Tamandua tetradactyla: one gene and its partner. The main gene of each other region encodes a partner of the protein of the gene in region 2 in a complex. Links are inferred from orthologs where the notes say so. Each region holds a gene or a part of one and is shown on either strand. Other genes may lie near its edges.

Evidence for each region.
Region 1: the proteins of DDN (region 2) and MAGI2 are in contact, whole or in part, in a crystal structure (PDB 6KKG), measured with the Mus musculus proteins. The link is inferred for Tamandua tetradactyla from reciprocal best matches to the Homo sapiens genes DDN and MAGI2. Residues at the interface, in NP_001013763.1 of Mus musculus: Asp222, Arg223, Pro224, Pro225, Pro226, Tyr227, Val228, Ala229, Pro230, Pro231, Ser232, Tyr233, His237, Arg238, Thr239, Leu240, Gly241; in NP_001164217.1 of Mus musculus: Glu308, Met309, Ala310, Tyr311, Thr312, Glu313, Gly315, Tyr318, Ile320, Asp321, His322, Lys325, Thr326, Thr327, Ser328, Trp329, Asp358, Tyr361, Tyr364, Val366, Asp367, His368, Arg371, Arg372, Thr373, Gln374, Phe375.

What each region holds. Positions count from the first base shown.
Region 1 is NC_135327.1:138,414,181-138,430,511, reverse strand, and holds the start of MAGI2 (membrane-associated guanylate kinase, WW and PDZ domain-containing protein 2), read right to left. Parts: upstream 6,163-16,331; 5' UTR 5,835-6,162; coding exon 5,534-5,834; intron 1-5,533. UniProt on the Homo sapiens protein: Seems to act as a scaffold molecule at synaptic junctions by assembling neurotransmitter receptors and cell adhesion proteins. Plays a role in nerve growth factor (NGF)-induced recruitment of RAPGEF2 to late endosomes and neurite outgrowth.
Region 2 is NC_135333.1:109,877,966-109,893,673, forward strand, and holds DDN (dendrin), read right to left. Parts: upstream 8,427-15,708; coding exon 8,218-8,426; intron 7,808-8,217; coding exon 5,872-7,807; downstream 1-5,871. Other genes in the region: PRKAG1 (5'-AMP-activated protein kinase subunit gamma-1), read right to left, coding at 12,018-12,125, 12,291-12,437, 12,676-12,713, 12,872-13,037, 13,144-13,270, 13,551-13,605, 13,712-13,757, 13,898-13,956 and 2 more. UniProt on the Homo sapiens protein: Promotes apoptosis of kidney glomerular podocytes. Podocytes are highly specialized cells essential to the ultrafiltration of blood, resulting in the extraction of urine and the retention of protein.

The DNA of each region.
Region 1 (16,331 bases), on a different chromosome or scaffold from region 2:
ATGTAATACAGATTTATTAAGTTTAAAAATTTTAATGACCAACTGGAGTACCTTTACAAACAATTGATCACTGTTAATGAAAAGTAATATTGGTAGCCTATATTAATTTTCTATGATGGTATGAGCATTTAAAAGCAGTTATTAGCTAGTACATATACCTCTCTAACACACCTAGTATTAATTATGTGAAAATCACCACAGGAATATTTACAAAAATATTCCTAAATTCTATATATGAATTATAATTTATTTTTAGTACAGGAAATATCACATCAGTCCTTACTGGAGACAGAAGAGAGAGAAGGAGCCAAGAATGGAATGAAACAAACAGTACAAAAATGTCACAATACGAAGAAAGTTGTAAGGCTCTGTTCCATGCTTTTTGTCCTGGAAACTAGCCAGATTGTAGCTAAGAAAGATTTTTGAAAGTTAATATTGGATGCCAGAGTTTCAAGGTAGCAGTTTCTATTGAATTCTGAGATGGGATTAATCAATTAAAATGCTAGCATGTGAAATACTGATAGGAGAAATGTTATTATTTGCTGAATCTTGTATCAGTATTCATACACTGATTTATTTATACTGAGTTAATGTCATTCTCACAAATGCAAAGAAAGTTTCTTGATGAACTTCAATATATGGTATCTTTTTTTCATTACATATTTTTTCTGTGAATATCTATAATTAATTTTGCTTTGTAACAGCTCTTCTCTATAAGATACTTGCTTTGTAGCTGAGAAGTACAAGTTCAGCATTAAAATATGATACTTACATCTAACTCCAGTCATATGTGAGGATGACAAATAAAGTATGGCTAAGATATAAAATAAAAAACAGTAGATCTTTGCACATAAAGGCAGCATCAGTGGAAGTTATTTTTAAAGAGTGAAAATATACTCCATTCTATTTAATGGCACTCTCTTCACATTGAAGCTTTTAAAGAAAAGGGTTTACGTTATTCTTCACTTCAAGAATATAACTTCAAACATTACTCATAATGTAAATTAGTAAATCATTTCATGTTTTTCAGTTAGTCTTCAAGTATGAGTAAAATATGAAAGCTTCATAAAATCATAATGTCACTAGCTAAAAATGACCAACACATTTGGAACAGTATTTGCTATCATTTACACAGCACTTACTATCTTTCCGACACTACATGATTTAAATGTGCAACTTTTGTGTATTCTTAAGATACTGTTACAACCCAGGTTAGGTAACTTACTCACACAACCAGTACTAAGTGATATATCCAGACTCAGCAGTCTGCTTGAGTTTTACATTTAACCACCACACTATCCCTTATCCCGGGGGAAATAATTCAGCCAGGGTTTGCTATGCTTTCAAAAGCCATTGTTTAAACTACAAGCAATCAAGAATGTCAAATGTGAAAACTTTTTGCTCATTATGAAAGTGAATGTGAGAGTTTCAAACAACTAAAAAGGAAAGTGAGCATAATAAATGTGAGAAAAGATTGCATGGTGCAAATGTTAAAAGCAGAGATGGTGACACTTAAATGTTTATAGTTGTGATTTCACCCTGAGACTACATTCGTTCAAAAGAAACACATAAAAAAGCCATATTTAACAGTGAAGGTCATACCATTTAAATTATATACATATACTGAAAAACTACAGTGGCTTCCCTGATAATTACGTATAAACATAACTGTCTCTTTAACTTGCGTCAAAACATCAAAAATATTTTATTACTAAAATAATTAACTGATCAAAGAGTTTAAATAATTATTGTTTATCGAACAATAAAATTCACATACCTCAAATTTCTATGGAGGAAAGTCCATCTTTATTGGCAGAAAATCTGGCAATTTTTTTTTACATTTCCAAACAAAAAGAAGCATATGGGCTTAACTTTATACCAGCCTGAGGTCAGAGAAGAAGCATGATTCAATAAATGGAGACCTGCTTTCCTCTTGGAAATGTCTTTAAAGAGTAATATGATGGAGGGCAATGCAGATATTCTATACAACTGAAATTCAAAGGCATTATTTGGCCCTTCTTTCACTTGGAAGAATTGGAAAACTTCTTTTGGGGGGCCTTTTATTCTCTATTGTAAGGTCCCCATGGGAAAATAAGTCCAGACTAAGTTGGTCCCCATGTGGTATTAGATGCATTAGCAATCATATTGCAAGGAATATAGAACACAATGGTCTATGTAACTGGCTGCTATGAACTTTGGTGTCAAATTTAAAACAAACAAAAAGCCTTTAGAACTTAGCGCAGACTTCAGAATCACTCAAGAAACTTCCTTTAACTGGGCCTGATGCATTAATGAGGTCATAGAACTGAACTACTCATTTTGAATTAAATACTTTGGTGAGGAAAGTTTATTGTATACTACAAAGCCACAGTATTAAAAAGGATATGATAATAAATGGCATTTTTCATATGACTCATCACTGTGTGGATTAAAAGCAGACAAGTTTAAGTTAAAAAGGAATTCCTTAAATGTAATTAAACAGCTTTTGAAATTATTTTAAATACCTTTAAATAATTATTTTAAAGTATTTAAAATAATTTTAAAACCGTGATAGATGCATCTTGTCTAGCATGTCTTAAAACCCTAGTTACATCTTATTTTAAAAAGACAATAATTTAGAATTATAATTTGTAGTAGAATTATAATGTACGTAGTCTCTATATAATACCCAATGTATGAATGAATATTCAAAAATAAATTATTAATATTTTAAAAATACAACTGTATATAAACCATGTTTAAAGTTTTCAGCTAAGCTAGTTCATTGGCTCTCTAGAAATAGGTCTACTTAAGACAAGAGTCTCTAAATGTTTTTCCAGCAAGTGAGTTCTGCAGTGACAACCAAGACACACAAATACTATATTAAAAGGATTTGAAAAATTTCACCCCACATCCAATGAGAAGTAAAATAAACTCTAGTAGTTGAAGAGGAAAATAATGATTTCAACAAGGGAATAATACACATAAATCACCATATCTTAAAAATATACAAGAAGATTATATTTTTCCCAAGAGCTGAGAGTTTTGTTTTTTTTTTTTTTCTTGGTCAAAATAATGACTCAGAATGAATCAGGTTCCTGTGAGGGCTTCTGAGAACATCATTACAAACATCAATCATCAGTGGCCCAGTGAAGCCCAGAACTAAAAATTAATATAGAATTTTAAAATATTTCCCTAAATATATCACTTAACTATGCAAATATACCATGAGTTCTAAAAGCAATAATTTTCTAAATAAAACAAAATATAGAAGAAGATTTTGCAGCAAGTTATAGCAGGATTAAATGATATCTAATACAGTTCCCTGTTTTATGTAGGTATCACTCTGAGATAATCATGTTGTATGGTCATTTGGCCTCTTTAAGAACAAAAATAATAATGGAGGCTCATTAACCCGCAAGGTGGGCCACAGAGTTTTTGCAAGTAGAAAACTTACCTTTTTAATGAAGGTAAAGTGGATTCACCATGTAATTTCCATATATTGAGCATAGTTTGCCTTGTGAAGTATCACAGAGTAGTACGAATTTCTTGATAGCTTCTTAATATTTAATGACCACTTTCATGACCTCACTTTTCCCAGCTGACTTTGAACTTGTTACATGGAATATATATAGCATACCCAACACTATCTTCTCTTCTGGACACAATCTTTCTTGTGTCTTTCTTGGACTTTTGCCAAAGTCCATCTCAAAATGTAGTGCTCAGATCTGAATACAACATTTAAGGTGTGGTGATCATTACAAAATATAGTAGGACCATCACCTCCCTTACTATGACACTATCATTAGTCCACTTTAGCAATGCATTAACTTTGCATCCACTCTGTACTACAAACACCAAGCTCTTTGCCAACAGAACCAGAGTCAGTAGTTGTTTAGTTGACCTTTTGGACACTAGACAAGAACTTTGCTATCCAGCTATCAGATTCTACTGTGACATCAAATATACAAACATGAATATCTGTATTTGAGCCTCCGGTGTGTAATCTTGAGAAACACAAAGATACTCTACTTCCCCTCCTACCTAATTCATATTCTTCGGTGCCACCCAGTATTAAATAACATTGACCTCCAATGTCTACATTAGCCCACCCCAAATCAGCAAATATGAATATTCAAGAATCTCCAAAGAAAAAATTTTTTTTCGTATGGCGCTTTATATTTAAGAAACTTTATCCGAGACTTTTTCTCACATAAAACCCAAAACTGGTTGTATGAAGAACACCACCCTAAAAGCATTGCCCATAAGACTTACTCAGGTAGTTGGATTAAGTGGTTGTTCAAAATGCAGGCAATGACATTCCATCTTTGAGTCAGAGCAATGTAAAAACGACAACAAACCCTTAGTTTGATATGCATGTGCACGCATACACATACCACACATGAAATGGTGCGTCCTGAGCTAGAAAAAGGTATGCAATCACGCGTGCACATCAAAGATACACTGCTTTATTCTAGTTGATGTTCTTTTCCCAAACTTTTATATCACTTTTTCCTCCTTTGGAACTATAATTTTCTTTCAGGCAAAGACAGTAATAGAGTTCTGCAAGACCCCAGTTTCCCTAATTCCATCACAGCCTTCAAATGGGGCACAGCTAGTCCGGGTGGAGCTAGTGAGAGCCTGAACTGTAGCCAGGAAGCCTTTCCATCGGACTCCTCCCCTGACACGCCCCTCAAATCTAGATCCAGTGGAGAGCCAAACCACAGAGGATTCCTCTCAATAAGGGAACCCCCTGAGTAAAATGCATGAGTTAACATTCATTTTACTCCCTTGCTCCCCAACAATAACACCGGTTCCTAGCGCCGCGCCTCCTTTCGCTATCCTCCTGGTGAGGGCCGGCTGGGGGTGAGAGCCCGGTCAGTCAGTGCGCACGTGACGCGCGGTGCCCACATGACACGACCGTGGGCGGAGGGAGGGGGACAGAGGGATGAAGCGGGGTAAAAAGTTATAGAAGATCCGTCAAAGCGTCCAAAGCCATCTGTCCCTTCTCCTTTCTTGCCAGCCAGTAGCTCAGGGATACTCAGGGTAGAGCACGGACAAAGATGTCTCCAGCCCAGCTCCCAGAATTTGGGGCTCAGTTCTCCGCTCCCTGCCACCACCCCCCACCCGCCCGCTGCTCTCCACCCCTCCGGAGATGCCGCTGCACCCTCAAGTTGTTCCTTCCTTCCTCCCTTCCTTCCTTGGTTTCTTCCTTCCTTCCCCAAAAGCTTTCCATCCACTGCGGGCAATGTCACTGACGCACATTCAATTTGCCCTGGGAGCTCACCGCACCGTGAGAGAGGTCAGACAAGGCCAAACTCCTTCCTGAGGGGAAGGTCTAACTGCACAAAGTTGCACACTATACCGCAACCTTCCCCTCCCCTCGCTTTAGCCCTCCGAGTCGGACCCCTCGGAAAGTTCACTCGCTCCTCTCCCGACCCCATTCCAACATCGCGCAACACACCCCCTTTCACGCGCGCGCCCACCCTTCCATTCCCCTTGGCCTAGAGCTATCCCGCCGCCTAGCAAAGCACTGGCAAGCAGCCACGCTCACCTTGCTTGACACACTTGAGCCGGAGGGGGTCCTTGCAGTGTTTGATCACGGCCAGCACGTCCCTGATGGTGAGTCCCGCCACGGGGGTCTCGTTCACCTCCAGCAGCAGCTCCTCTGACACCAACTTGCTGCCGCTCTCATAGGCCACTTTGCCGGGCTTCACCTCCCCCAGGTAGGGGAACTGTCCATTCTCGGCGCCCCCCTTCAGTTCAAAGCCCAGTTGGCCCTCCGGGTTCCTGCCAATGACACTCTCATGGACTTTGCTAGTCCAGTGGCTTTTCTTTTTCAAGCTTTTGGACATGGCAGTGGGGTGAGTTGCTTCAGCTCCTGGGTTCCTTTGGGGTGGGGAGGACTGGTGGTGAGAGGATGAGGATGAAGGAGAGAGGGGGCCAAGGAGTGAGGAGAGCGGACTTTGCCTTCCTCCCCTCCTCCGTTCCGTGCTTTCCCTCTTCTTTGGATGGAGGTTGGAAGGGGGGAGGATGAGAGGGACTGCTGGGCAGAGGTAGGAGAGAATGGGTGAGGTTGTGCTGTCCCTTGAATGACACTCAGGGCTGTGGCCCCGCAGCAGAGAAGAGCTGTGGCGGCGGCGGCGGCGGTGGCGGCGGCTGTAGCCCGAGTGAGCAGTAGCCGAGCTGGTGAGCGGGTGGGGGTGGGGGTGGGAAGAGGGTAGGGATGCCGGGGGCCACTCCTGCGTGGTACGAGTGGGAGCGCGCGCGCGCGTGCCTGGGTGTGTGTTGTTAGCCGATATCCATGGCAGCTGCAGTGGCAGCGGCTGGGTCCGTGTGTGTGTGGTGTACTAGTTGTACTGTAACTGGCAGGAGGGGAGGAGAGAGGAGAAGAGGAGAGAGCAGGCTGAAGAGGGAGGAGAGAGGAGGGGCGCGCGTGCGCCGGTTGGGGGGAGCTGTGGAGGGCTTCGTCGCTGTCTCCATTCCCTCCCTCCGCAGCTTGACCCGGTAGTGAAGGCGGAGAGCGAGGGAGAGAGGCGGGCTGGGTCCGCCTGGCAGCCTACTGGAGGAGGCGGGAGCGTGAAAGGAGGGGAGCCGAGGCCCGGCGTGGGGAGGCTGGGCAGGAAGGGCTGAGAGCCCAGTGCGGACTTTTCTCCGACTCCAAGCGGCGGGGCAGTGCGCTCGGCCGCTGCGTGGTGAGAACGCCCTGGCTTCCTCCGACCTGAGGTCCGATGGAGCAGAAATAACGTGGCCTGGGCCGCGCCCGAGTGCCTGGTGCTGCATCTCCGGGCGCCGGGATCTTCTGGCGCGGGATCCTGCCGTGAGAAAGAGCTGGCATACAGAGACCTGGCGTGGTTTTGCGGGAGAAGGCCACCTGGGTGTTGGTGCCTGGATAGCGGTGTAGAATGAAAGAGGCTTCCTCACTTCACTTTTACTGGAAACTCGTTGCAGAGTTCTCGGAATTCACCCTAGCGGGAGGGGAAAGTTAGAAAACTGTAGGCTGGTTACCCTGGGCAGGGAGAGCTTGAGGCAGCGTCACGTTCCCGCGGGCAGGCCCTACCTAGGCTCCTTGGGCCAGGGTTTGAATTTAGCGGAGGGGCGGGATTGTCCGTTGAAAGCCAATTTTAAGAGAACGAGGAGAAGGGGATTCTCTTTTTCTTGGTAGGAGAAGTGGAAAGGAAGGGGGCTGCTATGGGGGACGGCACTTGGAGTGAGCGGCTTCCGCAGAGAAATGGACAATTTAACTCTGGAGCTGTGGTGCTGGGACAAGAGGGACATGCTCTCAATCAGGAAAACCCCAGACTCTTGGAAGAAAACTTAAGATAACCAGGCCTAACAACCTCCTTCTAAGAGAAAGAAAAGAAAGGCTTAGTGGGTGAAAATAGCAGAATCAGGGATGGAACTTTTAGCTTTCTGTCCCCAACTAGGCACGTCCTAGACCAAGTTTGCAGCAAGGAGGGGAGGTGAGGACAGAGGAGTAACGATGCAGGCAGGCTTCGGATTTTCACTCAAAAGCTAATTTTGCTGAGATGTTAGGAGTTTTTAACTTTTCTGTAACTGGTAAATGAATTTAATTCGCTTAACTTTCGAATGATACGTCTCAGACTCCCCTTACATCTTCCAAAATCATGGCACACCCACTCATCTCTCTGAAGTGAAGCATGGAAAGCATTGAACAGTCAGGATTCTTGATGTCTGAGATGAGGGTAGTGTGGGAGGCAAGCATTACAGGGAAAATGTGCAGTCGACCCAAACAGAAAAATCAGACTCCAAATTTGAATCTAGGCTCTGCTACTTAACATGATCTTGGGAAAGAGTGATCTTTCTGACCCTTCTGAGCCTGGATTTCCTTACTTGATAAATAGGGTAAAATATTCTGATCTAATTGGCATATTTTGAGGATCAAATCAGGTAAGGCATCCAAAGTGCTTGTCTGGCATAGGTGGGTAGGCACTAAAAATGCTAATTTCCTTCCTCTTTCCACGCGAAGTGTATCTCACTACTTCTTGGGAAGTAGATGTCAAATTTAGTCAGAAATAGAAGCTCTTAAGGAAAGATGATTTGTTTAACTATGTGGGTTTTTTTGTTTTGTTTTATTTTTTTCCTTGAGAAAACAGTTCCCAAAAGAGTTGGCAGGGACTGGTAGGGGTTATTCAGTGAGCCGGGGGCAGTGGCAGGATATGAAACCAGAGTTGCAGGCAGTGAATGCTTAATAGTCCATAAGACTTTGTGGCAAAGGCCAGCTCTCACTTAAATAAGCTGGGTTTTAGCATTAGAGGTATGATCCTAAATAGAAATTGATAAGAAAACTAAAAATGTATTTTTAATACCAATAACAATATTTACCATGTATGGGTAATAGTAACATTTATTAAGTACTAACTACATGCCAGATATAGTTCTATGGACTTTACACATATTAATTTCTCCTGACATCTTAGTAAATCTATTATTGTCCTCGTTTACAGATGAGGAAACTGAGTATTAGATTAATAAGGCTGAAAATCTAGTTAGTGTTGGAGCTGGTATTCAGATCCCGGTGGTTTGGCTCCAGACCTGGTCTCAATCACTATGTATACTCCCTCCCATTGTGCTTACCATATGCCATACCAACTCTCACTAAATGGATCCCCAAAGTTTGGGTCTGCTCTTTATTTTAGGAGCAAGGAGGTAAAAAGGAAAAATGGCTGGGTTTTGGCCTAAGAGCAAGTTCTCCTTCCAGGACACAGGAATCATTGAGGTGTTTGTGTGAGTTAACTTGTTGCTTCTCAGCTCCAAATCCACTCCTCTTTACCCTGAGCTGTTATAATTAGAGATGGAACCTGTAACTTTTTTTTTTTTTTGTCAACTGGCACAGTGTTGGGCCATATCAGTAGAGGGTAGATGGGCACTGCAAAAAAGAGGACACTTATCTCAGTTCCAGTGCTTTTCTCCTTGTTCTTGTTCTTGTTCTTGTGGATGGCTATTAGTGAATGGCTTCTGGATTGTGATGAGTGAGAGACCCAGTGCAGTACACCTTACAGTGAGTTTTGCCAGCCCCCTAGTGGGTAGCTTCCCAATGAGTCTCACTGGCATCCCAATGGGAAGCTTCCCAGAGAATTTCACTGGTATCCTAGAGTGCTGGTTTGAAAGGATTTATGTACCCTAGGAAAGCCGTCAATCTTGTGGGAGCAACTGTTTCTTCTAATCCCTATTCAGTACAATAGGTTGGAAACTTGATTAGGTTATCTCCATAGAAGTGTGACTCAATCAATTGTGGATGTTAAACTTGTTAAGTTGGAGACATGTCTCCACCCATTCTATGTTGGTCTTGATTAGTTTACTGGAATCCTATAAAAGAGGAGATATTTTGGAGAGAGTTCCTTTTGAGAACAAGGAGAGAGCTGCAGAACTACAACAGAAAGATGAGAGAACCAGAATCACCAGCCAGCAACCTTCAGAGATGAAAAAAGAAAATGCCTCCCAGGGAGCTTCATGAAGCAAGAGTCCTGGAGCGAGAGCAGATGCCGCCACATTCGCCATGTGCCCCTTCAGCTGAAAGGAAACACTGAATGTCATCGACTTTCTTGAACCAAGGTATCTTTACCTGGATGCCTTAGATTGGACATTCCTATAGACTTGTTTTAATTTGGACAATTTCATAACCTTAGAAGTGTAAACTAGCAGTTTATTAAATTCCATTTCTGGTATATGCATTCTCGCAGCTAGCAAACTAGAACACCTAGCAAGTGATTTTCTGCTTATCAGACCCAATCTGTGACACTGCAGAGAATTTCTTAGCCATCCAGCGGACCACCACATTACCCCCAGTGAGGTCTGATTCTCAGGCCTGATTGCAAGGTAGAGATGGGGAGTTGGAGAAGGGGGGGGTGGGATTCCTCTAAGTTATTACCTCCTTGGGTACACTCTCACAGCCCCACATGTAGAGGCTGCTTCGTATATCTGCTATTCCTGTAATCTCTCATGTTCTCTACCTTTCTTAGTAATTAATTCTCTTACTGGTTAATAATTCTTTATATTTAATTTTCCCATCATATTATAGTGTGGTTTCTGTTCCTGATTAGTGCTTGACTGATATAAGGTGTAGATCATGTAGAACTCTAAAGGAAGCAATATTTGGGAGAACAATATTTTGGGAGTCAGAGGTTGGGTTCCTGCCTTAGCTGTACAACCTTGAACAAGTCACTTAACCTCCCAGAACGTGCTCCCTTGTCTGTACAAGGTAGGCAAAGGTATATATGAAAAAGCTGCTTGAGATCACATAAAATAATATATACCAATGTACTTTAAAGCTATAAAATGCTATCAAAATTAGATTGCTTCAGGTGAGGGCAGGGTGGGGGGAGGACAGCGTGTCTTGCCAGATTTATTATCATCAAATAAATATATTATTTGTTGGTAGGTTGGTTGGTTGATTTTGTCTGACTTTTTAGAGATGCAATTAGGCATCTCAACTTTGTTCAAGTTTCCAGTTCCATGAAAAATATGAGAATGAAGATATGACCATTTTGAAATGCTATTCTGGCATCCCACATATTTGCTTTATTTCTCATTTGTCTTGTTTATTCTTCCTGGGTTTGATACTTGTTGCATTAATTTGAATGAAAGAATCATTTGAGCACTGATCATTCCATATGAAGACCATGGCACTAGATATTGCATGTTATTACAGATCAAACTTAGGCTAGGAATCATAAAAGCTAAGAACAACAGCAAAAAGCAAAGCAAGAATGCTTTCAATACTTAGAAGAGTTAGTTCTATGGGGTAGATGCTTGTTCCTCCCAGGTCCCCTAAGATCCCTTTGATTTGGTCTGTGTGCCTTCCTTCGCCTCTCTGCGTCTTTTGTTCTTTTGATTCTCAAGGCCTCTGCCCAGGAGACTCTTTTTGGAAGACTGCCCAAAGGCTGCTGGACCCACTTTGCCTACAGGCACAGAGAGGCAAAAAGAGCCACCTAGGAATTTACTTCCCTTCCTTGAGCCCTTAACCAAGGACTTTTTTTTTTTTGCCAATGTCTTTTATATAGCACGAAAGCCCAGCTCTCTTGTCTCTGGTAGCAAGAAACTCTGAGGTGTAATTTGTACCCCAGTGCTCCCCACAGATAACACTGGTGCTGGAATTTTGCGTGAAAGAAATCCCTTCCCTATCTTGCTTTCTCTAGTGCCTTATGGGAGTTTCCTGAAAGCATTTTCTTAATAAATCACTTATATACCATCTTTGCCTCAGCATATGCTTCTTTGGGCCCTCATCTAAGGCATTGCTATCTCTTTTTGGAAATCAGGAAACAATAAGGCATGGAGTTGTTACTTGAACCAGGTCTGTGTGAATCTGAAACACTTACTCCTGATACTATGTTAACATTTAATGCCCCTAATAATGAAACTTATAAAAGTAAATTTCTGAACAGAAGTGAACACATCATTCAGCACTTTATAATTTAGCAGACGTAGAGAGACTATCCATGTGCTAAGAAAATGTTTGGGGAGGAAGATTATGGACCCAGAAGCAGTAAAACCAAAGTGCTTGGTGAAGGGTGCCTAACCGTAGGTGTGAAGACAGGTCCTACACTTTAGCAGAGAATGTTCAATGACGTTTTCTGTCAAGGGCTCTTTTTTTGCCAAGGCTGAACTTGCATTTGTATTAATTTCCTATTACTTCTGTAACAAATTACCACAAACCCAGTGACTTTAAACATCACAGATTTATTACCTTATAGTTCTGGAGGTCAGAAGCGTGAAATGGGTCTCATCGGGCTAAACTCAAGGTGTTGCTGCCAGCAATTTTGTTCCTTCAGAAGACTGGAAGGAGAACCCTATTCTTTGCCTTTTCCAGCTGCCTGCGTTCCTTTGCTTGTGGCCCCTCCATCTTCAAAGCCACAATAGCTATAAGGTGCTTCTCCCACCCCCTCATTCTGTTGCTAGCTTTTTTTTTTCTCCCCTCTTCCACTTTAAAGGACCTGTTTTAAGGTATGCAAATTAGTAACCTTAATTCCATCTGCAACCTTAACTCCTCTTTACCTTGTAATGTAACATAGTCACAGGGTCCAGCTATTAGGACATGAATATCTTTAAAGAACCATTATTCTTCCTTCCACAGTTTTATAGGATACCACTTTTCTGTACCTTCACTGCTTCAGGTTTAATTCAGGTCCTCAACATCAGGAATCCATATTATTGTGCTTTTTCTTCTCCCTGTCCTTTAAATGAAAAACCTCTGTAATAATTACCAGAGAGACATTATAAGTCCTCTTCTTTCTTCTTTGCTTAAAATCTGTCGCTGCTGTCCATTAAATACACAGTGAAACCCAAACTCCTCATTTCACTTTTTATCTTTCTCTGCCCCCTTCCCAAGCATCCAGGCTTATTTTTCTTTATACCCCTTGGAATTGGAGCCCAGGGTAACCTAACCAATGTGGTCTCTCCAAGATAAATAAAAATGAAAGAAGGCCCCATTAAAGCATCTGTTCTAGGTCCCTTGTAAAATAATTAAAGCCAGTGATTTCCAAGTTGTTTTAAAAGTATTTAGATTAGGGTAAGCAGCTGTTCCTGGTCTCCCCTACCCCTTTCAACCTTTTGTTTCAACCATCCTGAACTGCTCACAGTTTCCTTTGCTCACTAAGCCATTTTTTTTTTTTTCGGTTCTTTGCTTGTCTAAAATACTGTCCTCTCCCTCTGTTTGTCTTATTTATACCAGCTCGTTCTCTGAGTACCTCTAGGGCCACCTTCCCTCAGAAGCCTTTTCTGACTCCTTCCTCCTACCAAGATAATATCAACCTTTCCTTAATGTCTTCGTGTACCCTTTATAGAAATGTGACATCTAAGATATTTCATTGTTCTCAAGTCTGTCTTCCACATCAAGAATGCTTGGATTTTTGAAGGCTGGATTCCTTGTCTTATTCACTTTTGTATCCTTAACACTTGAACGATGTAAATGCTCAATAAAAATTTGTTTATTAACAGATTTTCCCAAAATGTAGTGATGACGCCTACAATTTCATTGTATGAATACCACCTTAATATGAATTTTCCTCTCTAGTATTAAATGATCATCTATTTACTCCTATACTATTGGCTTAAGAGAATAGAATGCAGAGGAACACATATTGATGAAGAAAAGAAAGAATATATTTAGCCATAAGGCAGCATTTAGAAGAGAAGCCAGGTCCTTCCAGAAATTGGGACAGCATGGTCTGGACAGGTCTGAGAGATGGTGAGGGTAGAATAGGACATTCTTGACCCTCTCCATAGTTTATCCATAGCCATTCCTAATATTAAACTTCCTTTCATGTCCATTAAAATCTTCACATGAAAATAATAACCTGTGCTTATAAAGTGGATTTTGCTTTCCAATAGCATAATGCTGAGCTTCTCAGACTTTTCTATCAAAATAACCCTAATAAAGATAATCACCCACTTCCAGCCAAGAGTGCTCTTATGGGAAATATTAAGTTTCTATCTAAAGTATTCATCTTGAATGTCTACTCTGTGGTGGGCTTGTATTTGCATTAATATAAAATATGACTTTATTCATGTTCTTCCAGTAGCATTTGCTGTGTTTATCCGGTGGTTTCCAGCATTCAGGGCTCAGCCCAGTAGCTCCGGGAGTGTGTACAACTTAGGTTCAGTAACTGGAAATACAAGTCCAAAACTTGAAGAGAGATGGGGCAACAGAGATTGATGTTGGGACACTTTGAATCTTTCACTCATTGGTTATATCCAGCAGAGAGCAAAACATGAGGTGAGAACACAGTTTACAACATTTTTACTGGGCTGAGAGAAGGGTAGGAACCAGTGAACAAGACCGTATTCCAATGTGAGAACTAATGTAGAGAAATGTATGCCCCTTAAAGGGTGTGAGAGGAATGTTTAGAGATTTGAAGTCCTCTAAACACATGCACAGGAACTGCATTCTCCATCCTGTATCTTATCAAATTATATTATGCTGCTAATGCTCCTTACCTAAAAACCTCAAATATTTTGGTTATTGTAACAGTAGGATTATATCAATTAATTTTGCATGAAAGGAGCCTAAACTGTTTCATTTTAGTATGGAATTGATGTTCATTGATTGTGCTTCTGCTTCTCACAGAAACATCCAATCATAATAGTCTTAGTATTGGAAGGAAATATCTGATCTAACTTTCCTGAAGCTGGAGAATTTACTCTCAAACAGCACTGGCAATTTGTCATTAAAAGATCTGGGAAGGGCGGGCCGCGGTGGCTCAGCGGGCAGAGTGCTTGCCTGCCATGCCGGAGGACCTCGGTTCGATTCCCGGCCCCAGCCCATGTAAAAAACAAACAAACAAACAAAATACAATAAAACAAGAAAATGTTTAAAAGATGTTTCCCTTTCTTCCTTCCTTCCTTCCTTCTCTCTGTCTTTCCTTCCCTTCCTCCCTAAAAAAAAAGTAAAAAAAAAAAAAAAGATCTGGGAAGGTGGGCCATGGTGGCTTAGCAGGCAAGAATGCTTGCCTGCCAGGCCAGAGGACCCGGGTTCGATTCCCGGTGCCTGCCCATGTGAAAAATAATAATAAAATAAAATAAAAAAATAAAAGATCTGGGAACACGGAGAAGAAAGAATAGAACAGGCAAAATCTGACTACTTAAATCTTTGATAGTATTACATAATATTGACTGCTAGAAAGTTCTGAACAGTGTGACTTTGGCCCTTATAAATCACTTTTTGTGAAATTCATGGCCCATGCAATCTTTACAGGGTAGAAAAAGAACACTGCCATATGAAGTAGTTCAGTCATTGCTCCATCTTAGCTATAGAGTTCAACAACTGGAGAAGTTTAACCAGCTCAGGAAAAGGAACTATGAAGATATGTTTTGCTTTGTTTTTATTCTGTGATTTTAAAGTTGTTGCAATATTTTATGTAAATGTTAAAGGGTATCTTAGTAAAAAGAAAATCTTACTGCTTTTATTTAATTCAACGTATACACCACATATAACAGGATGATGTTTTATTTAGATCTGGAAATGTATTCCTTCTTATGCAATCTATGTAGTCATATTTCTTGAATGTCAATATCTGAAATAATCTTGCTTTTTATTGTTTTACTTCCTATTTCTTCAATGCCTGTCTGCCAGTCTTTCATCGTCAGTTCACATCCTACTAAACTCTAAAGATATTCTCCTACCCTTTATATGTTTAAGCCTTACTAGATTTTTAGAATACTTCAAAACTTCACATACTTTGATTTCATACTATCAAGTAGCTGAATCTATTCTTTTTTTTTAGCTTAAGTGAGTAGTTCAATTGCTCTTATTTTCTACTTTTTGAATTCTATATCTTTGAAAGTAACCTTACTATTTTTTCATGCATTCACCCTTACAGAAAGTCTTATCCACTATTTGTCTCTTAATTTTCTAACTTTTTTCATATCATCGCTCCTTCTCCTTTAAACATCTAGATTTTAATTTATCCTATTTTTTCCTCTCTAGCAGATATATGCCTTCGGTTTCATCTTCTTGATCATCTTCACCATCAATTCCTATCACCAAATTGAAAAATAAATGTTAAATATTCTATATGTATTTTAATATTATTTATACTGCCCACACTCTAATTCTATTTTTTTTCGCTTTATTATTACTTTGAAATGGCAACAGTTTCAATCCAACAAAATAAAAGAAGCCATAAAAGGATACTGCTATTGTGGACTTAATTTTTATAAGTAGTGAAGAAACTGGAGGATGAAAAGGAAGTTTAGGGACTATTCTTCCAAAATAGTGAAGAATAGTCAAATGTGTTTTCTAGGTTTGAAAAAGCATAGTGTACCATCTTCAAACTGTTGTGTACCCCCAGAAAAGCCATGTTCTTAAATCTCATAAGAAATTGTTGGATGGGATTTCTTTATGTTGTTTCCATGGACATGTGACTCTCCAAATTGTGGGTGGGACTTTTTGATTAGGTGGTTTCCATGGAGATGTACCACCACCCACTCAGTCTTAATCCACCTACTGGAGTCCTCTAAGAGGGAACCATTCTGGAAAAAGCTTTAGAGCAGATACAGAGAAGAGACCTTTGGAGATGCAAAAGGAAAACGCCGCTTGAGAAGCCTTTTGAAACAGAAGCTGGGAGAGAAAGTGAACAGATCTCACTATTTACCTTCTTAGCTGACAAAGAAACCGTGAACATCATCAGCCCTTTCATGAATCAAGGTATCTTTCTCTGGATGCCTTAGTTTGGACATTTTTTAGGCCTTAGAAGTGTAAACTTGTAACTTAATAAATTCCCTTTACAAAAGCCAACCCATTTCTGGTAGATTGCATTCCAGCAGCATTTAACAAACTAAAACACATATTTTAAGAATTTCAAAGATAAGTTCACCATGCTTCCTTAACCAGA
Region 2 (15,708 bases):
TTCTAAGAACCTAACACTGTACTTGGCAAATAATAGGCACTCAGTAAATATTTGTCAAATGTATGGATGAATGGATGAGGTTGTCATTGCTTTGGGTTGGGGCCTGTCTGCTCTTCTTTTCTACTCAGGCTCTTCATTCCCTCTCAGGACCTGCTGGAAGGAGATGTCTAGGACCATCCTGGGTCAGTCCTTGATCGGGCATTTCACTGCTGGAAACACTAAGGACCCTGGCAGAGCTCAGAGCTACAATTGGAACAGCACCACCTTGTGGTACCTCGTGGGAGAACTTTTGGAGAGACCCCAGCCAAGAAGGCTGGTGGGAGGGGGGTGGGGGAGGGTTCTGGGGAGGGCTCACACGAGTACTACGGCGTGGTTCTCTCGTTTGTTATTTCCTTCCACCAGCATTTATTGAGAATCTGCTGCATGCCAAAGTTGTAGGGCATATAGAGTTAAATGAAAGGCTTGGTGCAGAAGGGGAATTCAATTCACAACATAACAAGATTGAAGGTCATAATCAAACAGCAGGAAAAAAATGCTATGTGTATTGAAGAGGCAACTATGATACTCCCAGCTCAAAACCTCTGTTTCTCACCTCTCCTTCAATTCTCTCACTAAAGCTCAAACATTATACACTTGCTTTCCAAAGATATTTCATGATTTGGCTCCCTTCAGGTTCTCATCTGTCTGCATTTGTATACTCCCCAAAGCCTCTGTGCCCTGTGAAAGCCAACTGCTCTCCCACTTCTCTAAATTTCCACCTCATATTATCCCTTCTGGCCCTGCTGGATCATTTTCTGGAACGCTCTCTCCCTTATCTGCTTCTATCGAGCACTGTCTAATACGTCCCTCGTCCATGAAAGCTGTTTTGATTTTCTTTGGCAAAGTGGCCTTACCTTTTCGAGCTCTTGAAGCACCCTCTTGGTAGAGCTTTCATTAACAGCGTGTACCGCCTGGCCCATTGGTGCTTATCTGTGTATGTTATTCATTTCCCTTCTTGGCTTCTAGTTCCCTGGGGACATGGGCTCTGCACTATGCTCATCTTGGCATCCCTTGCAGCACTGTGCTAGACACAACATATGCCCTCATTAAGTGACGAATAGGTGGATGGATGGATAGATGAACAGATAGCTGAATGGATGGATGAATGAAGAGGTGGATGGATGGATGAAGTATCTTCTCTAAAAGAATTCACAAAAGGCTATGTAGTACTGGAGGCTTCAAGGGAAGGACCTCACCCCAAGCCAGGACAGGCAGAAGAGGGGACAGCATCCTGGCTGAGCCTTCATTCACTAACATAGGCAATCCCAGCAACCTGTCTACCTGAGATCTGGGTATGTTCCAATTATCCAGAGGCCTGATCTGGGAGCTAATCCTTACTTCATGCCCCCACCCCAGCCCCTCTGGAATACCTCCATCAACATGTATTATGCTGTGCTGCATGCCCTGCTATGATTCTGTGGGTTTTTTCTTCAACCTCCTCACCCATCATATACATACCATAGATTGTGAGCTCTCTGGAGGTAGGACGCATGCCCATGTCTCTACTGTGTACCTAGGGCCTGACATACTTATTTAATGGTTGGGTGAGCAAATAGCAGGATAAATGCTGACTCTTTTCCCTATAGGGACACTTTGTACACTCTTCATGTTCAACCATCCCTCCTCTTCACATACATTCATACACACTCATACTGCCCACCCTGAACCTTTTTGAAGTCCCAAAGTCTGTCTATGGTTTGTTTCCTGATTTCCTTTACCCAAGTGTGTGGCTGATCTAGGAAAGTCCGGGTGCTCTCCCAAGAGTCTGACAAGGGGAGAAAGCTCCCAGCTCCTCTAAAGCATGGTAACTGGGCCCCATATGGGGCAGAAAGGGGCTTCCCTAGAAAGAACCTGGCTGTTGGGAGCATAGTAGGGTCCCGGGCTAAACTGAAGCTGCTGCCCCAAACTGACCATGCCTTCCTGGATCTGCTGACCCTACTCCTGACCCAAGATGGGGGCTGGCTGTGGCCTCTGTCTTTAGGCGGGCCCGCTGGCAGACACAGCCAGATTTAGAAATCATTTTCACAGCAGGGAGCCTCCAGTTTTCCACCCACAGAGCCCTGCAGGGACAGTCTGAGATATCGCTGACGAGGGCCTGGCCCCCAGACCTGCAACCAGTCACTCCTCTCCTTCTTCTCTCTTTCTCATTTTCCCCAGAACTTCGGTAGTTGGCACTGATTTCATCCTTAAGAAAAGCTGGAGGCCATCCTGGGGCAGGGAGCATGTGGTACTGACACCTAACCACCCAAGTACTCCCAGACTGCCATTTACCCATTCAAGGGGCTATTTGGGCCCACCACAGGGCTCCCTTCTCCTCTCAATTTGTCCTCTGCTGCTTTTTCCTCCTCTTCCTCTTCTCCCATTGCTCTTCTCCATCCTCATGCCACCACACCTCCCACACTAGCAAAATAACCCTGCAGAGAAATAATGAAAATAGTTAATCTTATATATAATTTACTATGTGCCAGGCATTGTTCCAAGGGCTTTGCATATTGGCTGATTTAATCCTCTCAACAAGCCTATGAGAAAAGGACTACCAGTAACCCCGTTTTTATAACTGAGGACACTGAGGGCACAGAGAAGTTTAATAACTTGCCCAAGGTCACACAGCTAGTATGACATAGAGCCAAGATTGAAATCCAGGCTTATAAGACCCCAGAGACCATGCTCTAACACAATACAACCCCAGTTTTCTCATGATAGTAGCAGTGTGGGTGAGCTCTTAGAAACTGGCCTCTGGTGTGTTCATCCTCAAAGGGGCTTTAAGCAGCATGGTGAGAGCCCACCATCACAAGGCCAGCCCCGCCACTGTCCCATGCGGCCCACCTCTTCTACCAGCCCGAGTCCTGGAGCCCCTGGGTTATAGAAAAATCCAGGCAGACGCTCCACCATTGCTCAGGCTTTCCTCAATCTTCCTTCAGATCTGAAGTCCATCCCCTTTCCAAGCCCAAAGGTCCAAAGTACAAACTCCTCAGGAGAACCAGGCTCACTCCAATCTGGCCTCAATTTTCACTTCTGCCTTATCTTCTACAACTTTCCTGAATGTACTCTAAGTCCAGTCCAACCAGACCATTTGATAATTCCCTAAACATACCCTGTTTCCCTACATCCATGCATGTATTTTTGCTATTTCTTCCACCTGGAATGCCCTTTCCAGGAATGCCACCTAGAATGGCCTGTCAGATGCCACCTCCTCCATGGAACCTCCCCTGATCTCATAAAATACATGCAGTCCCCCTTGTCTGATCCCCTTAGAGCACTTAACACTGCTCAATACTGTCGTTTTTGTGTGTATTTTCATGTTCACCCCTTTCTTAGATTACAAACTCCTCCAAGGACATTATCAAGCAGGCCTTCCTCATCTCAGCCCTGTGAGACCAGTCCAGTGCCTGGTTCCTAGTGTGTCTCCAGAAAATGTTAAGTAGATAGAATTGAGTTTGTAGGTGGAAGGGAGATGGGCCTCAGGAACCTTTGATCTCTTTCCAAGGTGACCCCCACTTCCCTTACCTCCTCCAGCTAGAACTAACTAGAAATCTCTAAGATGAAGTTCCAGGCAGGTTCTAGGATGGGATCTTCCTGGATGATTCTGACCAGCGCTCTCGCCTCTGGTGCCGAAGCCCAAAGTGGAACTCCGTCCCCCAACTTTCCCCCAACTCCCCTTCCCCCATTCGCACCTAACCCCTCCCCCACCCCTACCAAAGCCAGCCAGTCCAGGCTTCAGTCGGATCCAGCGGCCTCCCAGGACGCCCTGCCACCCGCCGCCTCCTGCCCAGAGTCTCTCCCGGTACTGGTGGGGAAGATAATTGAAGACTAAAACCGTAAGTGGTTTGGGACCGGGGCTAGGGACCTGAACGTCGAGCCGGGGTTGGCGGGACCGCTGGGGGTAGGGGTAGAGGCGGGGCCAGGGGGCCCGGCCAGGACTTGGCGACTGAGTCTGGGCTAAGCCCCCGCGCCAGCCGAGCCGGCGGCTAAATTTACCCAGGCTGACTCAGCCCTTGCCCGGAATGGGGGGCGGGGGGCGGGGTGCGCCAAGCAGCGAAAAGAGACGGTGGGTGTGGTGGGGGCGAGGAACGAAGAGTTCGAGCTGGGGGAGACAGAGATGTGCCGGGGGTTCCATCAAAGAAAGGAGTCCCTTCCCCCGTTGGCCGCTCCACCAGAGAGCGGGAGGGAGAGGAGGAGCGCTGCGGAAGGGGCACTCTGGGGGGGAAGGTCGGTGAAAGGCAGAAGATGCCAAGGCTGGAGAAAAGGGAAACAGATTTATTGAGCGCCTACTGTGTGCCAGGCACCGGGCTAGGCGCTTTACATAGATTATCTCATTAAATCCTCACAACAACCCTGCGAGGTAGGTGTTTATAAACCCCCATTTGACAGATGAGGAAACTGAGGCTCAGGGAGGTGAAGTGATTTGGCCAAGTCCACATGGCTGGTAAACGGCAGATTCAGAGGTGTAAGGGATCGGAGAGAAAAGGGTTTCAGTGCCTCGGTCCCAAGCCGGGAGGCGTGATGAATACAAAGAGAGGGCTCGGCGCGCTCCAGAGGTTTGAAAGGCCGGAGGCCTGCTCCCGGTCCTACACGGCTGGAGGCGGCAAAGCTCCCGACAGGCGCGCGGTATTAGGAATCAATTGATTAACTGTCAGTGCCCAGGTAGAGGGGAATTAAGCAACCCGGGAAATCCGCGACCTGCGCGCGCCCCGTAGTGGCTACAGAGAGCATCACACCCCACACCTACAGGCTTCTTGAGGCCAGCCTCCCTCTTCTTTGCCTCACCGGTTTCTGGAAAAGTCAGAGATACATGAAATTCTCAGAGTTCTTTCAGGTGGGCAATACCACCTGGGAAATCGTGGTGACTAAAGAACATTGGAAAGGAGGAAAGGGAGAAGACCTAGAGAGGTCCCAAGCTGATTCCTCAATGGGTGCCTTCCCTCTCCAGCTCAGACCACTATAAGCCAGGGACAGTGACAGGGCCACAGCCATTCCCTCCCATAACCCTCACCTAAACCTGGGGGACTTGTATAGGAGCCCCGTGCCCACCTACTCAGCAATTATACAAACTCTGGGCAGTCTCCTGAATTGAGGATGAGTGTAGGTGATAAGGAGGCTGCCTAGAGACTCTCCGACTCTGTTCACTTATTTCCAATTCTCTTCCTTGGCTTATGGAGGGGAGTATGAGTTAGAGGCCTCCCCAAAGATTCCAAAATGTCAGAGATGGAAGGATGGACCTTAAAACTCCCTCATTTGACATACCAGGAGGCCTGGGAGCCAGTGACTTTCCTTCTCCAGGCTTCCAGTCACCTAGCAAATTGATAGCAGAGTTGAGATTGAAACCCAAGACTTGTGACACCAAGGTGAGCCCTCTTTCTGATTTGCTGACTGCTTCTGAGCCCCTTTCTCTTCTGTCAAGAGTCTTTTTGTCACCCAGGCAACCTCAGTCCCAAGCCGGGCCATTACTTTCTCCCTTCTGCCCAGAGGCCCTGCCCTGATGCTGCGGTCCTGTGACTGGACACCCCTCCCCTCCTGCCTAATCTCGGCTAGGTTTCTTAGTTCCACACCTAATAAATCAGCTCTTGCTGATGACCCATTACCTCCTGGCATTTGTGCCCCAAATATAGCGGGCAAGGTAGTCTACTGCTCACCCTCACTTTTCCTGAAAAAAAAAAAAATCATAAATGAGCAGATGGTCCCTGTCTTTTCATGTGGGGGCTGTTTCGAGTATGGGAATGGGTATGGATAGGGATACAAGGAAAAGAGAAGCTAAAAAGTCTGTGGGGAAGAAAGGATCAGTGGGCCCAAGTATGGGTTGGGGAAAGGGAAACAACTATAAGGAGGGGCCTATTACTGCCGCTCCCTCTTGCCCTGTGGGGTCCCCTTAGTGTCCCCCGCCTCGAAGAGGGCCTCCTCGGTTCGGCTGCTGACATCTAGAATCTCCCGGATACTGTCGCTCAGCTCCGCCGTCTTCCGGCTCTCCCGGGGCGGGGTGTAGCCCCCAACCGCGCACCGGGTCCGCTCACTCCACCAGGAGGCGCCCGAGGCTTCTGTGTCGCTTCCCTCAGAGGAGCCGCTATGAACGCTGAGCTCCGCAGCTTCGTCCGAGTCCGAATCTGGGGCGGTGTGGCGGCGGATGCGGGACACGGCTTCCCGAAGGGCCCCGGCGTAGGGCGCGGGGGTCCGCGCCCAGCCCCGGCCGGCGCGCCGCGGGACAGTAGCCACTTCCTCCGAGCCCTCCGTGCTGCCCATATCTCCTGAAGCCTCTGGGCCTAAGGTGGGGTGTTCTGGGTTAACTGGCTGCGTGGGGGCGCCCTTCAGGGTCACTTCGCTGACCGGGAGCCCTAAGATGCGGGAAGCGCGCTCCTCCAGGGAGGAGTCCCCCAACTCCCGGCTCTCAGCTTCGCACCCGCGCTCTGCGCCAGGCTGGTGCGAAACGCGATTGCTCAACAGCAGCTTTTGGCAAGGGGAGGGAAAGGCCGCGGCCCCTTCGCCCTCCTCCTTGCTGGGCTTCCGACTGCTGGTAGCATCCCACCCAACGCGGGGCACTCCAGCCTGTAAAAGCTGCACGTGCTGGTTTCGAGGGCTCGGAACGTACTGGGACCGTATCACCACGCACGTGGCGTCAATGACAAAGACGCCTTCTCCACGAGTGGGGCCGCGGGAACTGCGGGGAAGGGTATTGGCACGTTGGGTTCCCTTCCAACCCGCCAGGGCCTCGGGTCCTGCCCGCTCTTTGTGACCTAAGGACTCTCTCCAGCCGGTGCCTCCTGGAGCCCAGGGTCTGGGGAGAGTCTGGCTATACTGGGGCGGTTGTTTTTTAGGGGACGGAAGCCAGCATTTGGGGAGCCAGCTCTGTTCTCCATCTTTTTTCCCTTCCCTGGGGCCCTTGAGGTGGGGCCTAGACCTGGGAGCTGGACACGGGGGACTAGGAGTAGCAGTTGCAGCCCCCACGGTAGCTGTCTCTGTGCCCCGGCTCCCCATAGCCTTCGCTTGGGAATGGCCCTCGCTACCACTGTTCAGGCCAGCATCAGTGAGCCCCAGGCTTTTCTCCGCGGCCCCCCTGCCGGGCTCCGGCTTTGCTCTGGCCGCTCCACAACCTGGAGATCCCCCCAAGAGGCCCCGCCCCTGTCGGAGACCCCAGGCCCCGAGGACGTCCCGGTAGATCCGAGGATCCAGCCTCTTTTTTGTGCGCCCTCCCTCTGTCCTGGCCGGGGTTGGAGCTGGGGCTGATGAGACGGGCACCTGGGAGGGCTCGGGGCCTCGCTTAGTCCCCAGGGTCCTATGGGGGCCATCGTAAGAAGGTGGAGCCACGTAGGGTGGCGGCCGGTCCCAGCGGCGTCGCTGAGCTGTCCCGGCAGAGCCTCTCAGTAGCAGGTGAGCCTCGTAGCTGGGGGGCCCGAGACGCCGACCTCCCCAGGACCCCGCCCAGGCCACCCCTGGGTCGCTCTGTGACTGCGCAGTTGGACGGGATGGTCGCCCCAACGGCCCGAGACGCTCTGGCCGCAAGTGAGCTGGAAGCCCTTCAGACAGGGCCACCCGAGGGGCGTTCCGGGGCTCCAGGCGGGGCCGACCAGGAGAGCTCCTTCGGACCCCACCAGCTTTGCGCCTTTTTCGCTCGGTCTCCTTGGCCTCCCGCTCCTGCGACGCCGCTTTCCTTTTCTCTTGTTCCCGAGCTCGGGCCTCGGCCGGGGGCCCCGCCCGCCAGTTGGTCGCCTCCTGTAGCACCCTGGAGGCCCAGGGCCGGCGGGGCGGCGGCTCAGGGGATCCCGGGCGCCGCCCACACCTGGGACAATGAGCAGGAACCCAGGTGAGCAGTTTGTGGGGGAAGGGAGCCGAGATCCGGGGAGCTGGGAGCACTGGAGACCACTTGGGGTAGCCGTGTGGAGGGGTGTCTGTGAGTGTGTGTGCACGTGCGTACATGTTAGGGCTGAAGTCGAAGCTGGACTCCTCACCATCTCTCCATGCACATTTTAACAGAGTCTGCCCCATCTCACCTGACCTTTCTCACGTCCACTCCTGTCCCCCCAAAACAATACAGGATGAGTCGGGGTGCAACCCTCGGGACGGGGTGGGGGAGAGAGGCATGGGAAAGATTAAAGGGGCCAGCAGCGCTTGCTGGTGCGTGCATGCCCGGAGGTCCAAACCCTACTCCCCACCCAGCCACTCTCTTCCCCTTATCCCTCCTTCACTCACGTGCGGCTCTGGAACCCGCGGGCCCAGTGGATGGCCTGGGAGTCCATGGGCTGTCGAGAAAGGGCGCGGCGACTATAATGACAGGAAATAGTCTTCACCTCAATCACCAGCAGCTTGGACTTCTGCACCCAGAGGCAGCTGCCAGACTCCTCATCATGGGGCTCCTGGGGCCTGTCCGGCCCCTCAGAGAATAGCGGACCATCCAGCATCCTGCCCCACCCCACCCCGGTCCCCCACCCTCCCACCCGCCCCGAGAGCCCCCTCCCAACCCAAGGATCTGGTGCCCACTGCAGAGCGGCAGACCTAAGGACTGGGGACTATATATACCCAGGCACACGTGTGTGCCTGTCTGTGTGTGTGCGCGCGCATGTGACACGGCGCAGACGACTCCGTGATGCTACCTCCCCCATGTGCACGGCCGCCCCCTGGGGCCCAGGATTGGACGCCCCTTCCCACTGCTCCTGTCCCTAAGCCTGATGGGATCCGAATGAGTAGGCGGGGGACTTCAGATTCTTGCCAAGCTGACAATGTCCCTCCTCCCCCACCCCTATTTCAACAACCTTCCTGCCTTTAATTTTAACCCTTCACTCTCCTGCTTGTTAGGCTGGCTGACCACCTGGGTTCCCTCCTCTTCCAGCCTCGGACATCAGTTTCCCTGGCAGGGAGTGGTGGTGGGAATGGAACTCAAGGTCTCTGCCTGCCACCCTCTGCTGGTTTCCATGGGTTTGGGGTACAGGAGGGGCTGGCCCATGACTGGGGGGCTATTTTTAGCGGCAGTGGCATTCGGGTGCAGAGATGAGATGAGTAACCAGCTTGCATGCGGTGGAAGGAGGCGGCAGTGGCTTGCACGCAGTTTTTATGTGACTCTGGGGCAGAGCTGCTCCCCCAACCTCAAAAAGGGTGATCCCCATACCTTTAACTCCTCACCTTCTCAGTATTGCAGCTCAGGTCTGCTGGACAGCAGAACACAGGGGTCTGTCTTGGAGACCAAGGCTGCCCCACTACTTCCATTCTAGATATTTGTCCTTAAGCAACCATGGAGCCCTACCCTCAAAAGCAGGCTCTCTCCCCCCAATCCAGAAGCCTGGATATTGGGGTCACATTGTTCTGTACCCACGCAGCTCTACCTAGCCTATGAAGGACAGAATAGAGTGCATATACCCTTGTGCCCTTTCAGAGGGGAATGGAGGAGGAATGGTGTGATCCCTTGGTAAAACCAATTCCCTAGCAACTGAAATGATAAAAGTGTCCCTTATATCCCAGTTTAGAGCTTCCCCTAACTACCACCGCCACAATGCTTAGCTCATTCAGCCCCTACCTGAAGTGGTGCTCAAGATGCTCATCTCTTAGGCTGATTCTGTCCTGGGGGGTTGTTACTTATATCTGCATGATCCCTCCCCCCAACCCTATACCAGGTGTCCCTTGATTCACCATGGTAATGTTAGTGGCAGCACAGCCCACGCCAACCCTTCCATGCAGAGACTTAGCAACCATGCCTGGCAACCATGGCAGCAGCTCCAGTGGAGGGGAGGGTGGGAGAGTGTGTATGGCAATGGCTTCTGAGGAAGAAGGGATAATTGTCCTCTTCTGAGAGGAGTAAGAATAGAAGGCTATAAGGCTCCCCAATGTTGTCTCTTGTATTTCTCTCTGCTCCATCTTCAGACTCTCAAACTGGTTAGTTGGGTTTCGGGGAAATGGAAGAAGAGATCCCAATTTGTTCTCCACTAAAGAATCTGCAGCCCTTTAGTAAGACCCTTTCTTTTAAGGGGATGGGGCCAGGAGGGTTGTCGTGGAGCAGAGACTGACTTACTGGGAACCAGAGCAACAGAACCTAGGCTTCTTGCCCCCTAATATGGGTCTTCAGAGAGAACTAGAACAGCCAGTCCCATTTCCTCTCCCCCAACCTCCTGCCCCTTGAATCCATACACCTACCTACCAGCTGCCCTGATGACTCTTTGCTTGAAGGTGCTTCCTTCCAACCCAGGACCCACCAGAGTCCTAAGGCTTTTTAAAGTCCTTGCCTCCTGCCAAGATAAACCCTCCTTTCATGATGGAATGTGACATGAGGAGATATCTGTCCTTTCCACCATGTACCCACCCACACACACATAAACATACCCAATTCTAATTACTTGGAAGCCTTACTCCTCCAAGTTTGGGAATTGCTGTGAAACCTGTGAAGAGGTGAATGCAGAAGTAGACTTTTCCATAGCCATGATATGGCCTTGAAAGCTGAGCTCTGAGTCCCTTGATGCTTTTCCGTGTTCCGCTAAGAAGATTAATTTTGGGGAACCAGTATGGTAAAGGTGGGGGTTCGTCAAAAGGCTTAGGCACAGTGGGGATAGGGGCAAAGAATTACCCTGCAAGGGATGGTACCTGGAATTTGGCTCACGTGTAACAGGTAGCAGTCCTTCTGGTGTTTAGTGCTGCCTACCATCTTGGTCCACATGGTTTTAGCACAGGGAAAAGGGTTTGATGAGATAACCATAGTTCTCCAGTTCATTCTCACATTGGAAGAAAGCCAAGGGATTTGTATGTTCAAAGATAGTGCCAGCTCAGCACAATCCAAAAACAGTTCAGTTTTTCCTGGTTGGGAAAAGTTAATGATGGTGGCAGGTCTCTCTGTCTAAAGAAGAGTCAGTCTATGCTCTGGGCATTGCCTTGGGTTCCAGCTATAATACAAGAGGGGAAGTGAGATAATAAGGGAGGCAGAGAACAGTTATGAAAGGATTTGAGAGGCAGTAAGTCTAATGTAGTAGTAAAGAGCAATAACTCTGGAACCAGACTGGTTCAAATCCTAGCTCTACTTTTTACTGGAGGTGTGACCTTGGATAAGTTACTTAACCTCTCAATGCCTCACTTTTTATTAATCTGTAAAACTGGAATAGTAAATAGTATCTACTATTGTTCTGAGAACTAAATGAAGTAATATTTGCAAAACACTGAGAATGGTAGCCGGTGCACAGTATGTTTTTTTTTGTTTTTTTTTTTTTAACATGGGCAGGCACCGGGAATCAAACCCGGATCCTCTGGCATCGCAGGCAAGCATTCTTGCCTGCTGGGCAACCGTGGCCCGCCCAGTATGTTTTATATTTGTGTATGTGCTATTATTATTGTTGTTTATTTTTGATGAGGTAAAGAAGCCACATGAAGTAGGAAGGTTACGGCAGTAGTGTCTATCAATTGTAAAAATCAAACACTGCAATACCATGAAGAGATTCCTGTCACTTTAATTAGATTCACTGTGGAAAGCAAAAACCTCAGCTAACCACTCTGCCCTCCACCTCCACCTATCTCCATCTGCCTTCACATGAAAACAGCAGAGGAACCCAAAGGCCCTCCTCCTCACGATCCTCCCCACTTCCATTATGGGAAGAAATGTCACTCCCATACAGCATGAAACAGGATGAATAAAAATAGCTTTATGCAGAGTTTTGTTGTGCTTTTATCTTAGGGTGGAGAAAGGGGCAGGGAAAGAGGCAAGGGTTGTCGAGATCTGGGGATCTCTTGGAGATCAGAATTTTCCTGATGGGCACAGAGTTCACTGTTTACCTAGAAAGGGAATTATGCCTGAGAGGACAAGGGCTGGGATAGGGTAGGCGGAAAGTTTTTCTCAAGTATATGTGTGAGGGTTAGGGCAATTAAAACTCCATTCTCCTTCCTCCCATACTCCTCCCCAAGCTCCCAAGTAGAAGGGTATAGGACTCCTGAGCAGGGAAAACAGTCACAATTCTCCCAAGGCTTTATCTGTGATTCCAACAGAGCACATCCCCTGGTGCTGCATGATCCCTTTCACCAGCTTAGGGCTGCTTCTCTCCACCTGTGAGCACCAGAGCCTGCAGGATGTCAGACAATGATACAATTCCCTTGACCACATCATTCTCATCTACCACCACAAGTCGATGAACCTGGCATAAACCAACAAGGGAGAAAGGGTGTTTAGTGCCAGCCTCAGTTTAGGTGGGCTTCCTCATCCCCTACCTTACTTGCCAAGCCCCACTCACAAGGTTTAAGTCCCTTGCTGCCTGTTTCCCTCCCCACCCCAGCTCCTTCAGGGTCTCTGAACTCCCTACCTCTGCTTCCACCAGCCTGCTGATGATAGTTTCCAGAGTCTCATGAAGGTAGCATTTGAGGACACCCTCAAAGTAGTGTGATCTGTGTTGCAGGGCTTTGGTTACAGACACATCTAAGTTGTTATAGGTCTTTTCTGCTGCTAGATTCTGGGAAGACAGAGGATGGAGCTTGCAGGGAAAAGCAAAGGAACCATCCCCAAACCCTGAGCCCACCCAACTTTGCCATGCCCAAGCCTCACCCAGATCATTGATTCTTTTTCAAATAGGATTTGAAAACTTGGAAGCTTCTAAGACCCTCAGGTCCCAGAAAAGACTGCCCTCTTCTCCCTCTCCATATCCAATACCCCACCTTCCCATTTTCCCTACCCACTCCACAATCACTCACGATAACATCAAACTTGGAGTAGATGTCCACCACACGCCCTAGGGGGACAAAGGCAGTTCAGCAAGGAGTATCTGGCATCCAAGGCTCCTCTTGCCCACAGTACCACACTCCTGACTAAGGTGAGGCAGAAACAGATGTTCCCAGAGCCACCCTGACTTTCCCAGAACCCTCCCTCTCCTTCTGCCCAATTTCTCACCTTTCTCATCCACCACTGGCAGGGCAGAGACTCTGTGCTGCACAAAGATGCCCAGAGCCACGTAGACGGGGGTGGTAGTACGGATCATAGCGATGTTGGCATAGGTGCCAATCTGAAGCTTTTCCAGAGACTTAGACATGAACTCTGGCTTGGGAAATTCAGTGATCTGAGAAAATAACCATAAGCTTTATTTAAAAGGCCCCCAAACTACCCTCAGATACCACTCCAACTTAGTATATCCAGAAATAAGAACTGGGCCAAGGAGCACTTACAAACAATTTGAGGAACTTGAGGATGCGCTTGTGGGTGAGGATGTACAAGGTGTTGCCTGATTCTGGGTCAATAACTGGCAGTCTGTGGATCTTGTTTCGAATCAATGAAGATACAGCATCAAATAAGCTGTGGGAAGGTGGGGGGATAATGATCAGTTCTTCCATAGTGTTGGGGGCTGAGGATGGTGAGATAATTTCTCCACAGGGTTTGCTTGTAAACACCCTGTGGAAAGCTGGTGACTGGGGAGAGGCAGGGTTCAAACCAGATCTAAAGAGTATGTATGTGTTTGGAAGGACTGTCTTTTTTCTCTTCTGCCTGTTTCCTAGGATCTTTGGGGGTATAGGGCTTTAACTGTGCTGATAGCAAGGCTCTTTTCCTTCTAGATAAATGGGTAACTGGAACTCACCTGGCATTAGGAGAAATGCAGACTAGCGGTTTAAAGGAGTCCTGTAGGTACACCTCTGAGGGGAAAGGGATGGTTCACACACAAAATACCATCATGAAAAACTGTTTCTCAAGAGACCCTCAATCCCTTTATGATTCTACAATCACCAATCCTCTACATACCTCTCCAAGTTTCTATCTTGTGTTCTTCTAGCTCATAGATCTGTACCTGGAAACAGAAGCAACAGAATTTGAAACCTGATCTCCCTGCTTCATTAACTTTCTGTGGCTTGCCTGAAGGAAAGGAAATGAGAATGAGGGACTTTGGGCAGGGCAAGTGGTTTTGGTCCTGGGGTTAGGGTTCCTTACCAAAGCCGATTTATAGTAGCGGTGTAGGATATTGATGAAATCAGTGATGGTCAGCATGCCTAAAGGCCAAGATAAGAGCCCTCAGCACAGCCCAAAGTTTCTCTCCCCACCCAGCACAAGATGCCAATATACTGTGTCCCAGAAACTTTTGCTTACCTACAAAACTTTGCTTCTTACTATCCCACAAAGGGGCAGCTCGTACACCATTAGTCACCAAAGCAAAGAAAGCTTTCTTTACCTGTTGACAAAAGAGTAACACTCACAAAGGGAAATACACAGGAGACAGGAATTTAAAAGAATAGTGTGGTTGGGTGTGTCGGGGGAAAATATGAGACTAACCCCACAGAAGGACAAGGATAAGATAGGACTTAGGTATTGAACCAGAGGCTCCAAGGAAGGGGAAGGGAAAAGAGGATTTCACCCACCTGTAAAGAAGTATCAAATACAACCAATTTGGAGCTTGTAGGAATCAGGTCATAGCAGCGATGGGACTTCATGAAGGAAGTATACACGCTATTGTTGGATTCTGGGGGGTCTGCACAGGGTGGGACAGTTAGTAATTTCTTCCATTAAATAACTCTCAATCCAAAAGAGGTAGAAAATAAAACACTCTTGTAGTTTCTCAAATATTGAGAGTATGCTTTTCTATAAGGCCTCTTATTCTGTTTTGTTCCTACTGGATAAACTCCTTAGAAACAATTCCTCTCAACTTCAGTCTCCAGGTAGGACTATATCCATTGGCTATATGAATATAGACAAAAGATGGCTGGCTGAAACAGAATTCCTATATCTCTCATTGGCCTGTTCTAGTTTTTCTCTCATCTTTAACTTCAGATTTTCCTTTCATATGTTTAGCACATTTTCACTTGTTTCCTCTTCTCAGTGATGATGAAAAACTGAGTAAGCGTCTTAAATTTTTTCCATGATCTGTCAATGGAAAAGTCATGATCCAAGCTGGGCCATTTCTAATCAACACTAACTTGGAGCCTAGCACTCAAACATCCTGACCCCAAACACCCTGAGGGTTCATTCTTGGATCATCCTGTGAATCAAAATTCATTCCATCTGCTCTAGACAAATGGGAAATTCTGACTGATGTTTACCTCTCCATTCCTCTGGTTCTAATTGCTTGCTGTCAACTGGAGAAATGACAACCCAAAATAATACCTGAATGTGCTATGTGCTATGCTATGTGTATTACATCATTTAATCCTTACAGCAATCTGCAAGGTAAATATTATCCTCATTTTTTGGATGAGAAAACGGAGTTAGAGCAGTTAAACAAACTGCTCAAGGTCATACCATTAGTTAAGTAACAGGATAAGGCACAAACATAGATCTTCTTGACTCTAAAGCACATGCTCTTAAATCCTATGCCAGTTGTTGTCTGCTTTTTCATTTTTACCAAACTTATTCAGGCACACAGTTTAAAGAGTCAAATAGTTCTACAAATTTTGTTAAGAAAAATTCAAAATTTGTTCATGACATCCATCTCCCTATACTATTCTTTCCCAGAGATGAACACATTCACCCGTTTAGCTGATTATTTTTGTACTTATATCTATGTCCACAAATAATCTATTTGTATTGCTACTTTTTGATTTTTTCATTCTGGGGCATTATCTATTATCTTCCTACCAAAGAAGATGACAATCTTTAGATCTCTTTCCTACCAGGACTGCATCACAAACATGCACCTCCCAACCCCTCACTCTTCCAGAAGTTATATTATAATATTGGTTACATCAGTAACCAAAATTATTTTTTTGACTCTAAACATTCAGAGCTAAACCAAACAGTAAACTTCAGGC